Drosophila melanogaster: one gene and its partner. The protein of the gene in region 1 purifies or fractionates together with the protein of each later gene. This does not show direct contact. Each region holds a gene or a part of one and is shown in the gene's direction. Other genes may lie near its edges.

Region 1 (5,173 bases):
GTGTTCCCGAAAACCCCTTATAAATCAGAAAAGTTAAGTAATGATGTTAAAATTATGGCCAACTGATTAGAAAAGAAAAAGTATATGAGTGGAAAATATGTAGAATATATATTTCCACAACATTAATTTTGAACAATAACATCAAAGAGGGTGGATTCTTATTCATATGAATATAGTTTAGCGAGCCTCAACTGGCAAATACCGGTGCTCGCAATCAGGACAACGACATCCTTTGTGGAGCTCTAGGAGATTTCGAAGTGGCTCATTATCGCATGGCTCATATAGTACTTTGCCCTCTTTGGATTCCTGACCCTCGTATGCTGACTCCGGCGGACACTCTTTCTGAATACAAATCGGTTTTTCAACGTTCGATTTATCTATCTTGCATTTACGGAACTTTCGGATCTGGACATCAACGAATGGCTTATACGACTCGTACAGTTTTGGTACGGTAAAAATAAACAAGTGTCCTATAAAGAAAAATTATTTCAATTTAATGTAACTTTATAGATAAAGTAAAGTAAGACAACATATGCACATACCAAATATAAGCAAAGTCAATCCGTTGAAGCAATCGCCCAGCAAATTGATGCCGCAGAGCAAAACTAGGAACTTCAAGGAATCCTCCCACTTTTCCACCAGCAACAATTCTATCATACGGTTTAAAATTAAATTAATATGGGAAACTGCTTTCCCGGCCAGATAAAGAGTCTCCTCCCGGGGGATTTCTATCTTCGGGTGAGGATAGAAACGTAAGATCTGATCTTTGTTCTCATCCTTCTTCCAGATACTCCAGAACTGTACCAAAAGGCGATGGCCAATAGCTGCTATGAGAACTGTGATCCCTACCATGCTTATCACACTGATCACCGAGTGGACCATCACATCCAGCAGGAGGAGCAGGATGCCCGTGAAGACGATCAAAGTCTTTCGGCTATTGCGCCATAACAACAGGTTCTTCAGATCCATAAATATTTGGCTGGAGTCCTTAGCCTTTATCAAAGTATCGGTACTCATATTTTCGAATGTCTTTAGAGCACGTTCGGATGCTGGTTGTGAGATCAGAGCAAATAATGTTTTAAGTTTTCACAGCTGACTAATATTTCAAAGGTCAACCGAATAGACAAACTAAAATGATTTCAAATTGTCAGGTCGGAATGTATTTCGATTCACCACAATGTTTGTGTCTTGCTTCAATTCAGTTCACAGTTAAATTTGAAAAGTTTCTCGACATTGTATTTCTCAAAATGAAGAAAGCGAAGATATTCTAAAAAATATTTTTTTAAATTTTACTACATTTACCTAGCTAATACCGAATGCTTTGCGCACATTATTCATCCTTTTTTTTTAGCTAACTAGCGGGTTTAAATAGTAGTTTTTACTTACGCATCTTCAGAAAATCTTCAATTGTATGAAAATATGAATAATACACAAAATAGTAGCAGATTCCAAAAAATGTTAGCCTTTTGACACGAATAGCACAGACTGGTCCCAATATAAAGAAATACATCTGTGGATTATTTCAAAGCATACTCATTTCGCGCGCAATTAATCGATAAGTGCGCAAAATGGATCGATAACTGCGCAGTACTGTACTGCTCTCGGAAATTACTGCCTTAAAAATATACCAAGCGGGTCAAAAGAGTTCGTTGTGTTTACGGACGGGTTGCTCCATTCTTTAAAAATATATGAACATAAAAAAATTACTTACTTCTTTTATCTCTATTTCAATTTATTTTGTTCACTATGACCTACTGACTTAATGCAAAAATGCACTATTCGGTTTACATACTTTGTTCATTTTGGTAAATAGTAATAGTAGATGTTCTAAACACATGTAAAATTACTTAAACGGAACATTAGTAATTTGACGCTCTCTTGAAATAGGCATTATTAATTGTGTTAATATGCAGTTCACTTATACAAGGCATTGGTATTATTGAACTGTTTGGTATCTTTAAATTTCCCACCGGCGGTCACACTTAATCTACTGAACAAGCGTGCTTGTGCTAAATAATTTTACTGATCTTTAAATCTCGTAAATACCGCCATTTAGCCGCATCTGAACACTCTTGCCGATGGTAATCAATTATTGGCCAAGAGCTAGCAATGTTGTGTAAAAATCAGCGTGAAACTAAAGCCGAATTCAAACAAACAAACCAAAAAGCGGCCTGACAGGGTTTTTCGTGCCCCCAGAGCAAAATCGATTGGTAAAAGAAACGCGTTTCGTATAATATAGATAGTTATCTAATATCTAATCTAATATCTGAGTTGTTGTGAAGCCCTTTTTCGTAAAACAGAGCTACTGGCGATTTACGTCTGTTCGAAATCCATTCCCGGGCATTCCAACGTATACGCCCGCAGAGTCAGACCCCAAAATCCGTAGGCTTACACTTTTTCCGTTGATTTTCCGTAGTCGCGTGTGAGAAACCGAAACTCGAAACAAGAAACCCGGAATCGGAAACCCCATTAAAAATCAATATGCGCGAATGTATCTCTATCCACGTGGGCCAGGCCGGAGTCCAGATTGGAAATGCCTGCTGGGAGCTCTATTGCCTGGAGCACGGCATCCAGCCCGATGGCCAGATGCCCTCCGACAAGACCGTAGGCGGAGGTGATGACTCGTTTAACACCTTCTTCAGCGAGACTGGAGCTGGCAAGCACGTGCCTCGCGCCGTGTTCGTGGATCTGGAGCCCACTGTGGTCGACGAGGTCCGTACTGGAACCTACCGTCAGCTGTTCCACCCCGAGCAACTGATCACCGGTAAGGAGGATGCGGCCAACAACTACGCCCGTGGCCACTACACCATTGGCAAGGAGATCGTCGACCTGGTGCTGGACAGGATCCGCAAGCTGGCCGATCAATGCACCGGTCTGCAGGGCTTCCTCATCTTCCACTCGTTCGGTGGAGGTACCGGCTCCGGCTTCACCTCGCTGCTGATGGAGCGTCTCTCCGTGGACTACGGCAAGAAGTCCAAGCTGGAGTTCGCCGTGTACCCAGCTCCGCAGGTGTCCACCGCCGTGGTGGAGCCCTACAACTCCATCCTAACCACGCACACCACCCTCGAGCACTCCGACTGCGCCTTTATGGTGGACAACGAGGCCATCTACGACATCTGTCGCCGAAACCTGGACATCGAACGACCCACTTACACTAACCTGAATCGTTTAATCGGCCAAATAGTGTCCTCGATCACCGCCTCTCTGCGATTCGATGGAGCCCTAAATGTGGACCTCACCGAGTTCCAGACCAACCTGGTTCCTTACCCCCGCATCCACTTCCCGCTGGTGACGTACGCTCCCGTCATCTCCGCCGAGAAGGCCTACCACGAGCAGCTGTCGGTGGCCGAGATCACCAACGCCTGCTTCGAGCCAGCCAACCAGATGGTCAAGGTGGATCCCCGTCACGGCAAGTACATGGCCTGCTGCATGCTGTATCGCGGCGATGTGGTGCCCAAGGACGTGAACGCCGCCATCGCCACCATCAAGACAAAGCGTACCATTCAGTTCGTGGACTGGTGCCCCACCGGCTTCAAGGTGGGCATCAACTACCAGCCACCCACTGTCGTCCCAGGCGGGGATCTGGCCAAGGTGCAGCGTGCCGTGTGCATGTTGTCCAATACCACGGCTATTGCCGAGGCCTGGGCCCGTCTGGACCACAAGTTCGATCTGATGTACGCCAAGAGGGCCTTCGTCCACTGGTATGTTGGTGAGGGCATGGAGGAGGGCGAGTTCTCCGAGGCCCGTGAGGATCTGGCTGCCCTCGAGAAGGACTACGAGGAGGTCGGCATGGATTCCGGTGACGGTGAGGGCGAGGGTGCTGAGGAGTACTAGAGCGGATAGGTGTGCATCCCTCAAAATCTTGCTTATTTTCATACGCTCCCACTCGCATGTATAAATTTTCTGCGATAATGTATAGCGAACAAAGAAGAAAATAAAAACCCAAGAAAACACCAATTTATTAACCACGTTTAGTAAAAGGCACGAGAAAGTTAGTACTTTAAAATTAACTTTAATTTTATATATGACCAAAAGTCATGCATTAAAAAGTTGTTCACGTGGGGTACATCTGTATATTATTAATTTGCTTCATTTTTATTTTGTTGGTTGGTTAATGTCCTCTATTAACATAGGTTATTTATAATTTAACAGTCCACAGGAAACCGAACATCATAAAGGTGTCTTATCTAGGATTTCAACACCTGTATACAGTAAGATTAGAGAACGCTCTACCTGGCTAAACGGTAAGGTTTTACCAGGCTAGAAACTAAAACTAGAAATCCACGTATGCAAGTCGATGGATCCAGCTTTCCATATCATTCTCCAATCATCTAGGGTGTCCAAATAATATAAAGTTTTTCTTTGCTGCATAGAATTCAGCCAATAAAATTGAACAGAGATCTATCCATATTTTCATTCATTTCTATTTACTAAGCGAAGATTCATAAAAAAAAAAACCAATAGAAATAAATTTCCAGCCTTAATAATTCTTGAGATCTCGCTAGTGATCCTAATGAAGACAAATTTATATCCTCAATAGAGTTTGATTTAGATTTTTCGACGTGTAGCGAGAATAATTATTTCTTCTTTAAGAGGTATAAGGATATAAAAGCAAAATTTAAAATTCCGAATTCCTAAAGACATGCAATTTCATATTTCCTGTTAAAAATGATAAAGGAAATCTTACCAAGGTAAGATCGATTCACCTAGGTATACAAAACAATTTATTTAGAAACATATGCGTGAAAACGTTTATTTAAATCCGTTGGCATTAGTTCGCAAATTTCCAGGCACTTAATAAAATCCTGTGGGCCAGGTTACAATCATGTATCGTTAGCAGTGTTCTGACGGCAGTGCGTGTCGTCTGTCAATTAAATGTCAATTAAAGTAAAACATAAAACTCTTGGGACCTTGCTACCTGCTGGATAAAAACGTTGTCTGAGCGTTGGGTTCCGAGATGGTATTTAATATACCCATTCCCAATATCATAGAGGTAATAGCTGGTAAGTCCTAATCCTTCACATGGCCAGACAGCCAAACATGGGTAATCGACTCGGCCTTGTAATCCCGGGCAGGAAAATACATACATTATAGGGCCAAAAAGTATCCTTCTACCTGATACTCGAAATTACTTTTGCATACATTGTATAAAGTCTTACCATAATTATACCAT
Region 2 (9,364 bases), on another chromosome or scaffold:
TAAATAATAATATTGCTAAAAAAGACTGTTCTTAAATTCCTGAAATTTTAATTTTATGATTATGACAATCATTAAAAAAATATTTTATTATTGATAAAAAAGGTGGTTTATTGTACTTAAATAGAATTCATCAAATTTGTACAAGCACACGTATTTCATTAAAGAATAACCTAATAGTAATAATATCTGTCACATTTTAAAATAGTAAACAGCCAATTAATTTTTTCTCCAAATGTATCCATCAGATGCACTTCAATGCAAACGAGGAGATGCGAATGCGTCGTCGTGTCCACTTGTGTCGTTAACGGACATTGCAGCTCCGCCTTTCACTCCCCTTTTGGGGATCGACGCCTCGTGAAGGCGTTGTCAATTTGGTTTAATTGTGGCCAAGGCTGGAGTGGGCCCAAATGAGGGAGGCAGACCCTGGTTCTCCGCAGCGGGAGGAGCAATCGCTGCCTGGCATCTCCATCTGCATCTGCATCTGGATCTGCAAGCGAGCCAAGGGCCTTGGCTGGGTGGACCATCAAGGCCAAAGACCGCATCCAGACCAGCGTGTAATTGATATGCAATCGTTGTTGCTGCCACAGCATTGTGGCATCTCAGCCTCCTTTTTGTTCGCACACTGCAACGGGGCCACGACAACAACAGCAACTTCAACTGCAACAGCAAATGCAACAACTGTGGCAACAACCGACGACGACAACAACGGCATCTCAAGGTGAGTGAAGGCCAAGGGCCACATTTGGCCACAGCTTGGACACGGGAGTCATGCACTCCAGTGGCGAACAAAATGGGGGTCTTAGGGGGGTCATAAGTACCCTTAAAAATTATAATACTTGGTTAGATACATATGTATGTACATAAGAAATATATGTTTTATGCGAAGAGCTTACAAATATGACACAGAAAAGGGTTAATTAAATCGTTAAGTCCGCTAAATAAATAATATAATGTGAATTTTTAGACACCTTATAGTATACACTGAAGATATATACTTATTTCAACCGGACACTAAGAAAACCCCCTAAGAATATGTTTCCCATCCGCCTCTGATGCACTGCAGCTGCATTGGTATCTCCTGTTCCTCCTTCGCTGGTCATTTTTATTTTTAGCAGCGGGCTTATCGGATGCCTCAGATCTCTGGTGCTTAAACTTCGCTCCCGATTAGGAGGAGGAGGAGGAGCAACTGCAAGAACCACATTGGATTGGCCTTGACGGCTCGGCTGATAAGTGCGTTTTAATGTTAGCCCCGTTGGCACTCAGTTTCAATCAAAGCCCAATTCTCTACAACCATTCCAGCCTGGCTTAATGAGCTGGTTAGTTCTGGCCTGGAATTGAAGTTGGATTGGCAATATAGTCCGGTCCACTTGGTTCACTCCCTTTGTTCTGTCTCGAGTGGACTGTGCCCTGATTTGTGTACCACCATTGGTTCTTTGAACTGCCTTCGTGGCTAATTAAAGGTGCACTTAAGATAGGCCAGGTGGCAAGAATCATGTTTTTCATTTTTCAGGACTGGGAGTACTTTGATTTTATGTCCTAGAAAAAAAGAGCAAACGAATCAGTCTAAAAGGTATTTCAGCTGTAAAACATTCCATAAATATAGGAAATTTAACTCTTTCTAATTTTAATTAAAGAATATTCTAAACGTCATCTGGTCAATAAACTAAATGAATATTGTAGAATGAAATATTTAAATTACATATCAAACATTGTATATTAAATAATAATAATCAATGGACCTCTGTTTGTAATACCTAATGCTTAATTTACGAAATTAATTAGAAGTCTCCTCAGGGTATTTCGTTTTCCAAGTTAGTCTTTCAGTTGCTTTGTATTTTGGTTTTGGGCCAGGGCTATGACTTCATCGAGTTGGCCACAAAAACTTACCAAATTCTTCCGACCGTCAGTTCTCATAAATCAATGTCAAAGGTTTTTTTTTCGTTCGTTTAGGGTTTGTTTTGGGTTTAGGACGGGCTTGTTGTTTCAGTATGTGTTTAATCATTTTATGGAGTGCGAAGTAATTTCCTTATGATTTCCTATTTGACTTTTACTTTTTCCTGAATGTCCAAAATAGAAAAGTTCAAAGAACCCATTTACCTAGTAAGGCGGTCGACAAATCTTAACCGCTTGAAATAAGTACTCATTTGCATAGCTAAGCATGAGCTCACTGGTTAGTATAGCCCAAGTCACACCCCAAAAACACGTCTAAGTAAGCCCAAAAGATACACCCTTCATTATTCGAATTGTCTGGCACTTGTTGTGTGTGTTTTTTGCCCAACAATTTCACGCATCGTTTTTTGTTTTTTTGCGCTTAAACAAATTTACTGACTACAAACTCACTGTTTTAGTAGCTCAGACTGTGTGGCGAACCCCTCCCCTTCTCTTTAGACAATATAAAATCAGGAAAAGCTTTAAGCTTTATTCCCTAGAATTTCACTCACAACAAACCAAAATTTTGAGTGTAACTTGTTGGTTTGATAAGATTCTGGTGTGTAGCGTCACTTTTGTTATTCTGAGTTGTTTTTAGGTCTCGTTTGTTTCTTTTTCTTTCTGATAAATGGCTTCGTCGTGTGGCTTTCGTTGTTAGTTTTCGTGTATAAAATTTTGCGAAATGAAGTCATCGCTTGAAAAAAAATTGGGGGGTCAGTAAAAGTGTCTATAAGATCCAAATCGTTTTCCTTATCTCATTCAGAAAGTTTTGGAATTTATGTTAGCTCACCAACGATTTGCCATCTTTTCTTTGGATAAAATGCTAAGGAGGATTTTCCTTTTTGAGTTTCTATTTCACTCAGCGAAAGCTCACTCAAAACAAAAATATCACTCATACGCCGCTTGGGCCTTCGCTAGCCACTGGCTGCGCATTTGTCCAAACAGTTGAGTTTCGACATCGCCAGCATTCGCGCGTTTGCCTTAAAGTGATTGGAAAATAGCCGAGGAATAAAACAAATATTTTTTTGGAAATATATTCAAGAATTTTTGGAACTTTTTTAATAACAAATGTAAGTTGGAAACGTTTCGAGAAAAATAATCTAGTTCGTTGGATTTATTTTTTTTTTTAAAATGTTACTGTATCCTGCATCTATAAGCAGACTCCGAGCCAAGGATATTTTTTTTATTCATTTTATGAGTAGCAGGTTCATATTTTCAAGAGCAGATTTTGACCCACTTACCGCGCATCGCGTTCCCCTTTTCTTTTGTTCCTGGGGAGCACCATTGTTTTCGATTTCCTTTGGGAGGTCCTGATTTAGGCGCATTTTCCCCGCTTCCGTGTGTATATATGCGTGCATTTGAATCATCAGTCTGAAATTCCAGTACCGAGACCCCCCAGGAAACCCCTTCTCCAAACTGGCGCTTGCGCGTTTCCCAGCTCCCAGTGATGTCATCTGGGCTAGTGGTGATGTAGCTACACATTTCATACACATATTATGTCCCGAGCATAAGTCCCCCTCCTAAGTCAATGATTTCTCTATTGCGTTGCGTGCTCTATCAGAATGCCCATGACTTCCTGTTTTGTTCCCCCCAAAATAAAAGTTCTCTTTAATTTATGCATTCAGTCCGAGGTGCTAATATTTCTGTGTGTTTATTAACACACGTAAACTCATATGTGGTGCAGTATTTCATGTTTCTCCCCCCAAAGTCGTTTGTTTTATAAATATACATCGAGATGACCCAAATTTCGCTTCCTCCATTCGCTTTCCAGCGGTCCACTTGAGGTAGGTTGGGTTTATAATTGCGTTCCCCTCTCCAGGAAGTCCATTCTTTTCGAAAATGGCTATCTATAATATTCATTCATATTCCTATTCAAATTGTGGTCATATGTCATATATATTGCCCAATTAACTTTTACCATTTTGGTAGAAAACTAATTAAAATGTTGGCAACGAATTCGCAATGCTCGACTGGAGCTGGATGAGAACTTGTTCTCCAAATCGAAAATACAGAGAAAGAATCCAAAACAGAGATGGGAAATGAGAAGAATCGAATTATTTATGGTCTGACAAGCAAGCGGATTATTTCTGATTTAGACTATCCACGCTCCCCATCAGACTGCCTGATTTTCTGCCATTCATTTCACGAGGGGTATCTGCACTTTGAGTTGCCAAAGAATATTAAGAAAATAATTTATTTTGTGTGAATATAGTATCCAAGTCTGATCAGGGTATCATAGGATGAGTCTTTCCATTGTCGATTGCGATGATTTAATACTTCCGCTTTTTAAATTGATTACGATCATCTTAAACTGTTAGTATTTCCCTCGAATAATTATAATATTTAGATTTTTGTAAAACCTTTCAGAAAATTATTAGCAATCGGGCTTCTATTAAAAATCAAACTAATAACGTCAATCTTAGTGTAGAAAATTGGATCTAACAATCCGAACTATTTGCATTGGCTGATGGTAGTTAAAAAAGATTGATTTTACTAATATTACAAAATGAATTCTATTGTGAAAAAAAGCATTTTGAAAGCCACCATAGATAACCTAAAGATATTTCTTATTAGTTTTGATTTTACAGGTAATTTCCTAGTCGATAGCCTCTTGTTTTTTGCCATCTTAAAACTCTTCTTGCATATTCCAACTTCTTTTGTGGTGTAGTTTGTCAACTTTTCTTGTTTCCGAGTATTTATGGCTTCCAATTACATGTAGGGGCGGAGTAAAGGGTTCCATTAGTCTTGTCCGGGAACTGGGACCGGATAATTTGTATCGTCTTGAGCGGAGTTCAAGTTCAATGGCCCTGGTCTTGAGACCAATAAGATGATTAATGACCGGCAGACTTGCTATGCATGCAATGTTCCCAATTAACCACTCAGTTTACATAGATCATTTCGATGGATTATCTGGGGAATATGGGCTATTAAATTGCCTCACCCCAGAGCTATTCAAAGCTGATCCCAGAACAGCGTAATCAAGAGCCGGCGTAATGAGGCGATGACATAAGCACTCATTTTTCGATTTGGATTGCGAATGGGGCTAGGGGGTGGTAAAATAGTATTTGACATGCTCGACGGGCTGCATCAAGGTCATGGTGATTCTACCCCGCCCGTCCACTTCGATTTCGATTCGCATCTGTGCGGGCACAAGCCGTGGCATCATATCTCACGGATAGAGGACTCCAAACTGGTTGCAGTCGCATCTTATCGCCGCATTAAATGCTTGCCCAAACGGCTTCCATCTCTCCTGGGGCTCCAACTTGCAACCTTAAGTGGTGCGTAATTAATGGCTCCGCCAATAAATGCTCACGTTTTATTTACTGTTTATGGAATGATGGGGATGGGTCTGAGGATTCGACTTCGTGTTGGGTAGCCTGTAAACAAGAGGACAATTTATGCTACAAGCAATTTTAAAACTAAATTATCATCCAAATTTATGCCACGTTCGGTGGGTAACAAATTAAGCGAGGAATTTCTGGCGATGCGTAAAATATTTATTGCTCTTTTTGTTATTTTAATAAGCGTAAAAGTGATTCATTTTAATAATTTTAGGGTATATCTATAACTGTATAGCTGTACCGTAAATACCTAATATCGCCTTAGGATTATTAAAACCCATGATAACTGCATGCTAGAGACTAATCATAAAAGATCTAGCAAGCTAGCGCTAAGTTCTGACCCCCATAGAGTAACCCATGTGAGCCAAACCTGTTGACTATTTGTTTTGTGTATTTGGGTTTGCCAAAAGGCGATAATTAGCTGCGTTGGGAGATGGGGGACCCAAACCGATGACGCCATCTAATGATTGAGTCTCTCCCAATTTGCCTTTAGATTTCCATCTCTCGAAATCTAGCTGAGAGAGCTTTGGCCTAGCTTTGGGTGGGTATAGCTTTGCCTTTGTCCAGTTCAGCATGGGTTGTGATATCATTGCGAAAGCGAAGTGAGTAAAGTACTGATAAGGTGTTCGCAAAGATACGTCTGGGAATAGCACCTACATATGTAGATAGTTGACAGTGACGGACAAGACCCACCGCAATGTTGGTGAGCGTTGTGGCCCACAGGTGAGGAACTGCGTAGGTGACAACCGTAGTCAACCGATTACGCAGGAGCGGAAAAGTTGCGTGTTGGAAGAAACCACTACAAAATGTTAAACAAAACAATGACCTATCAGGCTAGGCATATTATTAATAATAAATGATCCTCAGTCCATCTGTAAAATTGAAGGTTCTTTGTCCGTAGTTGTTTATTTATTACTGGGCATCTATTAAAACACCTGTAGGGTTCAGTAAAGGTTAAAAAAATATATATAATATTAAATATATTTTTCAGATCCACCATGTCCGAGGTAGCTGCAGCAAATGGAAGCCCCTCCCCAGCGCCAACTCCTGAGGTGCCCGCTACCGAGTTGGCCCAATTGGCGCTGGAGGATGAGCCCAAGGTTAGCTTTTCGGATCAGTTCAAGGCCTTCTCCAAGTTCGGGGACTCCAAGTCCGATGGCAAGCTGATAACGCTGTCGCAGAGTGACAAGTGGATGAAACAGGCCAAAGTTATCGACAAGAAGATCACCACCACGGATACAGGCATCCACTTCAAGAAGTTCAAGGCCATGAAGATCTCGCTCAGCGACTACAACAAATTCCTGGACGATCTGGCCAAGACGAAAAAGGTGGAGCTGTCGGAGATCAAGCAAAAGTTGGCCAGTTGTGGAGCTCCAGGAGTTGTGTCCGTTTCGGTGGGTTTGATAAATTGGTTGTGAAAAATATGATCTATATAAGTCAAATGATTAAGATTGATTTTAAAGTGTAAAGAACTTCGAGAAGACCATTTAGATATGACAAAATTTAAATGATTTTTTTTTGACTCATTTAAACTATCAATTGTTAAAGTAGTTTTCTTACAGAAGTTCTTAAAAAATATCTTTTTAAACCTTTGAAAGTCATAACCATATACTTTATGCCTTTATTGAAAACCTAATCAACATTTTGTTACCATTTTTAGGCTGGAAAAGCCGCAGCTGCCGTGGATCGATTGACGGATACGAGCAAGTACACCGGTTCCCACAAGGAGCGTTTCGATGCCTCCGGAAAGGGCAAGGGTATCGCGGGCAGACGGAACGTGGTCGATGGATCCGGATATGTGAGTGGCTACCAGCACAAGGACACCTACGACAATGCCCACTAGATGGGGTAACCACCGTTTTTCACCCTCTCATAAATCTGTATTTCTAACTTTTGTGTTTCCCTAGTTAATGTCTCCCAATCTAATTTATCTTTGTGTATATAATAAGTTTGTGATAATTTAAGTGCTTACAAATAAACTTATATTTTTGATTATAATTTTTGAGTTCCTTTACTTTGTTTATCCTTCTTTGTCCTTTGATACGTAAAATTTTGAAGCGGCCCAAAAAGAGTTCAAAAGTAAATCCAAATCAAATTTATATACATTTCATGGCAATCAAACCCATGTTTGGTAGTCTTAAGATAACAGATAAACTTTTAATATTACAATTTGTGAAAGAAATTTAAATATCACATATGGAAACCAAAGATATACGACATACATATGTAGATATATGTTATGTTTTCACAAGAATTTTGCTTGAATAAATACACTTTAAAATATTTGCATTGCTAAAATTTGTATTGGGAGGAAATACAATTTAAAAAACCAAAATTTTAAAGCAATTAAGATGGTTTTGTAAATCGAAATATACATTTAATTGTAAGATCTTTGAAAAATGCCCAACATGTGTACCTTCTTAAAAGCAAAGATTTCACTGGAAGATAGTTATTAAGAGATCATTGCTTTATCTACACAATGACATTATCACTGATGCAAAGCTGACATCGAAAAACCGGAGCGGTGTGAAGCAGACTGAACGCTACAGCGACCAGATGGGGATGGAAATTGATATATGGGCATAAGTTGCATAATCCTAACCCAGAGCAGGTGGAAAACTAGCTATTGATTGCAGTCGAACCAAAGTCACTCAACGATATATCATATAGCCCTTGGGAAATAGGTATAAAAGCGGCGAACATTACAGCTCCAAGTCAGCAGTGCAACTGAGGAGCTCAGTGCTTGATGAAGCCACAAGGAATACCACCGACTACTACACGAATCAGCCAGACCAAGATGTCCTTTCGCGGCAAGAATGCAGTGGTGACCGGTGGAGCTGGAGGCATTGGACTGCAGGTGTCCAAGCAGCTCCTGGCCGCTGGAGCAGCGGTTGGTTGTTTTACACATAATTACGTGAAGTAATTTCTAAAGCGAGTGCTTCCTAGAAGGTGGCCATCATTGATTTGCAGGATAATCTGGAGGAGTTTGTAAAACTTAGGGCCGCTCATCCCACCCAAAGCGTAATGATCATCAAGATGGATGTGGCGAACAAGAAGGGTGTGGAAGCCACCTATGAGGAGATAGCCAAGACCTTCGGTAACATCGATATTGTGGTCAATGTAGCCGGGATTTTTAACGACAAGGATGTGCAGAGGACTCTGTTGGTAAATCTCGGTGGAATCATCAATTCCACACTGAGTGCATTGCCCTACATGGGCAAGGATAATGGCGGCAAGGGTGGCATTGTGGTTAACATGAGCTCGGTGGTGGGTCTGGATCCAATGTTCATCATTCCCGTTTACGGAGCCACCAAGGCTGGCATCATCAACTTCACCCGGTGCTTGGCGGTAACAAGAATTTCTTACATATCTTTTGAATTAGGTTTTTCATTTAAGTCTCTTTCTTAATTAGAACGAAAAGTACTATCAACGCTCGGGCATCAAGTTTGTGACTGTTTGTCCTGGAGCTACAATGACGGACATGTTCACCAACTTTACGGAGAAGATCATCTTCCCGGAAACGAGTGACGAGACCTATAGGATCCTGGATAGGCTAAACAAGCAGAGTGCCGCTGATGTCTCTCGATGCATTCTGAATGTCCTGGAGAAGGACAAGAACGGAGCTGTCTATGTCATCGAGGGTAAGCGCGTTTACCCTTTGGAAATTAAGCCCCAGTGGACGGGCAAGGAACAGGCCCTTTAAGTGGGTTAATTCGTTCACATCCTAAACACATGCATTTTACAAATATGAAGTTATTATGGACACTAGTTATTTAATAAACAAACGATGCACAGAAATAAGTTCTTGTGGTGATTAGTCATCCCGCCAGCTGACCAGCACTTCGTCCGTTCGAAATCGCTGAGTCACATAAGATTCCTCAAAGGGCATCCTAGTGCCAGAGCGGAACATTTCTGCACCAGCATGGGCAATCATTAGTCCGTTGTCTATGCAGTAACGTTCATCAGTGGCAAAGAGTTTGCCTCCGCGTTCCTCGCACATAATACGCATCATCTCCTGGAGTCGCTCATTGCAACCCACACCTCCAACTATAAGGACCTGAAAAGAAGTCGGTTAACTCATAGATTAATTTCGG

Evidence for each region. Proteins that work in one complex are often made in the same cells at the same time.
Region 2: the proteins of alphaTub84D (region 1) and ringer purify together in Drosophila melanogaster (affinity purification with western blotting, with the first as the bait; one study listed by BioGRID). This does not show direct contact.

The regions. Positions count from the first base shown.
Region 1 is NT_033777.3:7,528,778-7,533,950, forward strand, and holds alphaTub84D (alpha-Tubulin at 84D), read left to right. Parts: upstream 1-1,975; 5' UTR 1,976-2,481; coding exon 2,482-3,834; 3' UTR 3,835-3,955; downstream 3,956-5,173. Other genes in the region: Rtnl2, read right to left, coding at 178-470, 543-1,017. UniProt on the Drosophila melanogaster protein: Tubulin is the major constituent of microtubules, a cylinder consisting of laterally associated linear protofilaments composed of alpha- and beta-tubulin heterodimers.
Region 2 is NT_037436.4:16,352,934-16,362,297, reverse strand, and holds ringer (ringmaker), read left to right. Parts: upstream 1-2,869; 5' UTR 2,870-2,999; intron 3,000-5,849; exon of another isoform or gene 5,850-5,993; intron 5,994-6,106; exon of another isoform or gene 6,107-6,207; intron 6,208-6,261; 5' UTR 6,262-6,268; coding exon 6,269-6,664; intron 6,665-6,930; coding exon 6,931-7,113; 3' UTR 7,114-7,552; downstream 7,553-9,364. Other genes in the region: Pdh (photoreceptor dehydrogenase), read left to right, coding at 8,017-8,160, 8,217-8,618, 8,683-8,973; Tcs3 (Threonyl-carbamoyl synthesis 3), read right to left, coding at 9,085-9,327.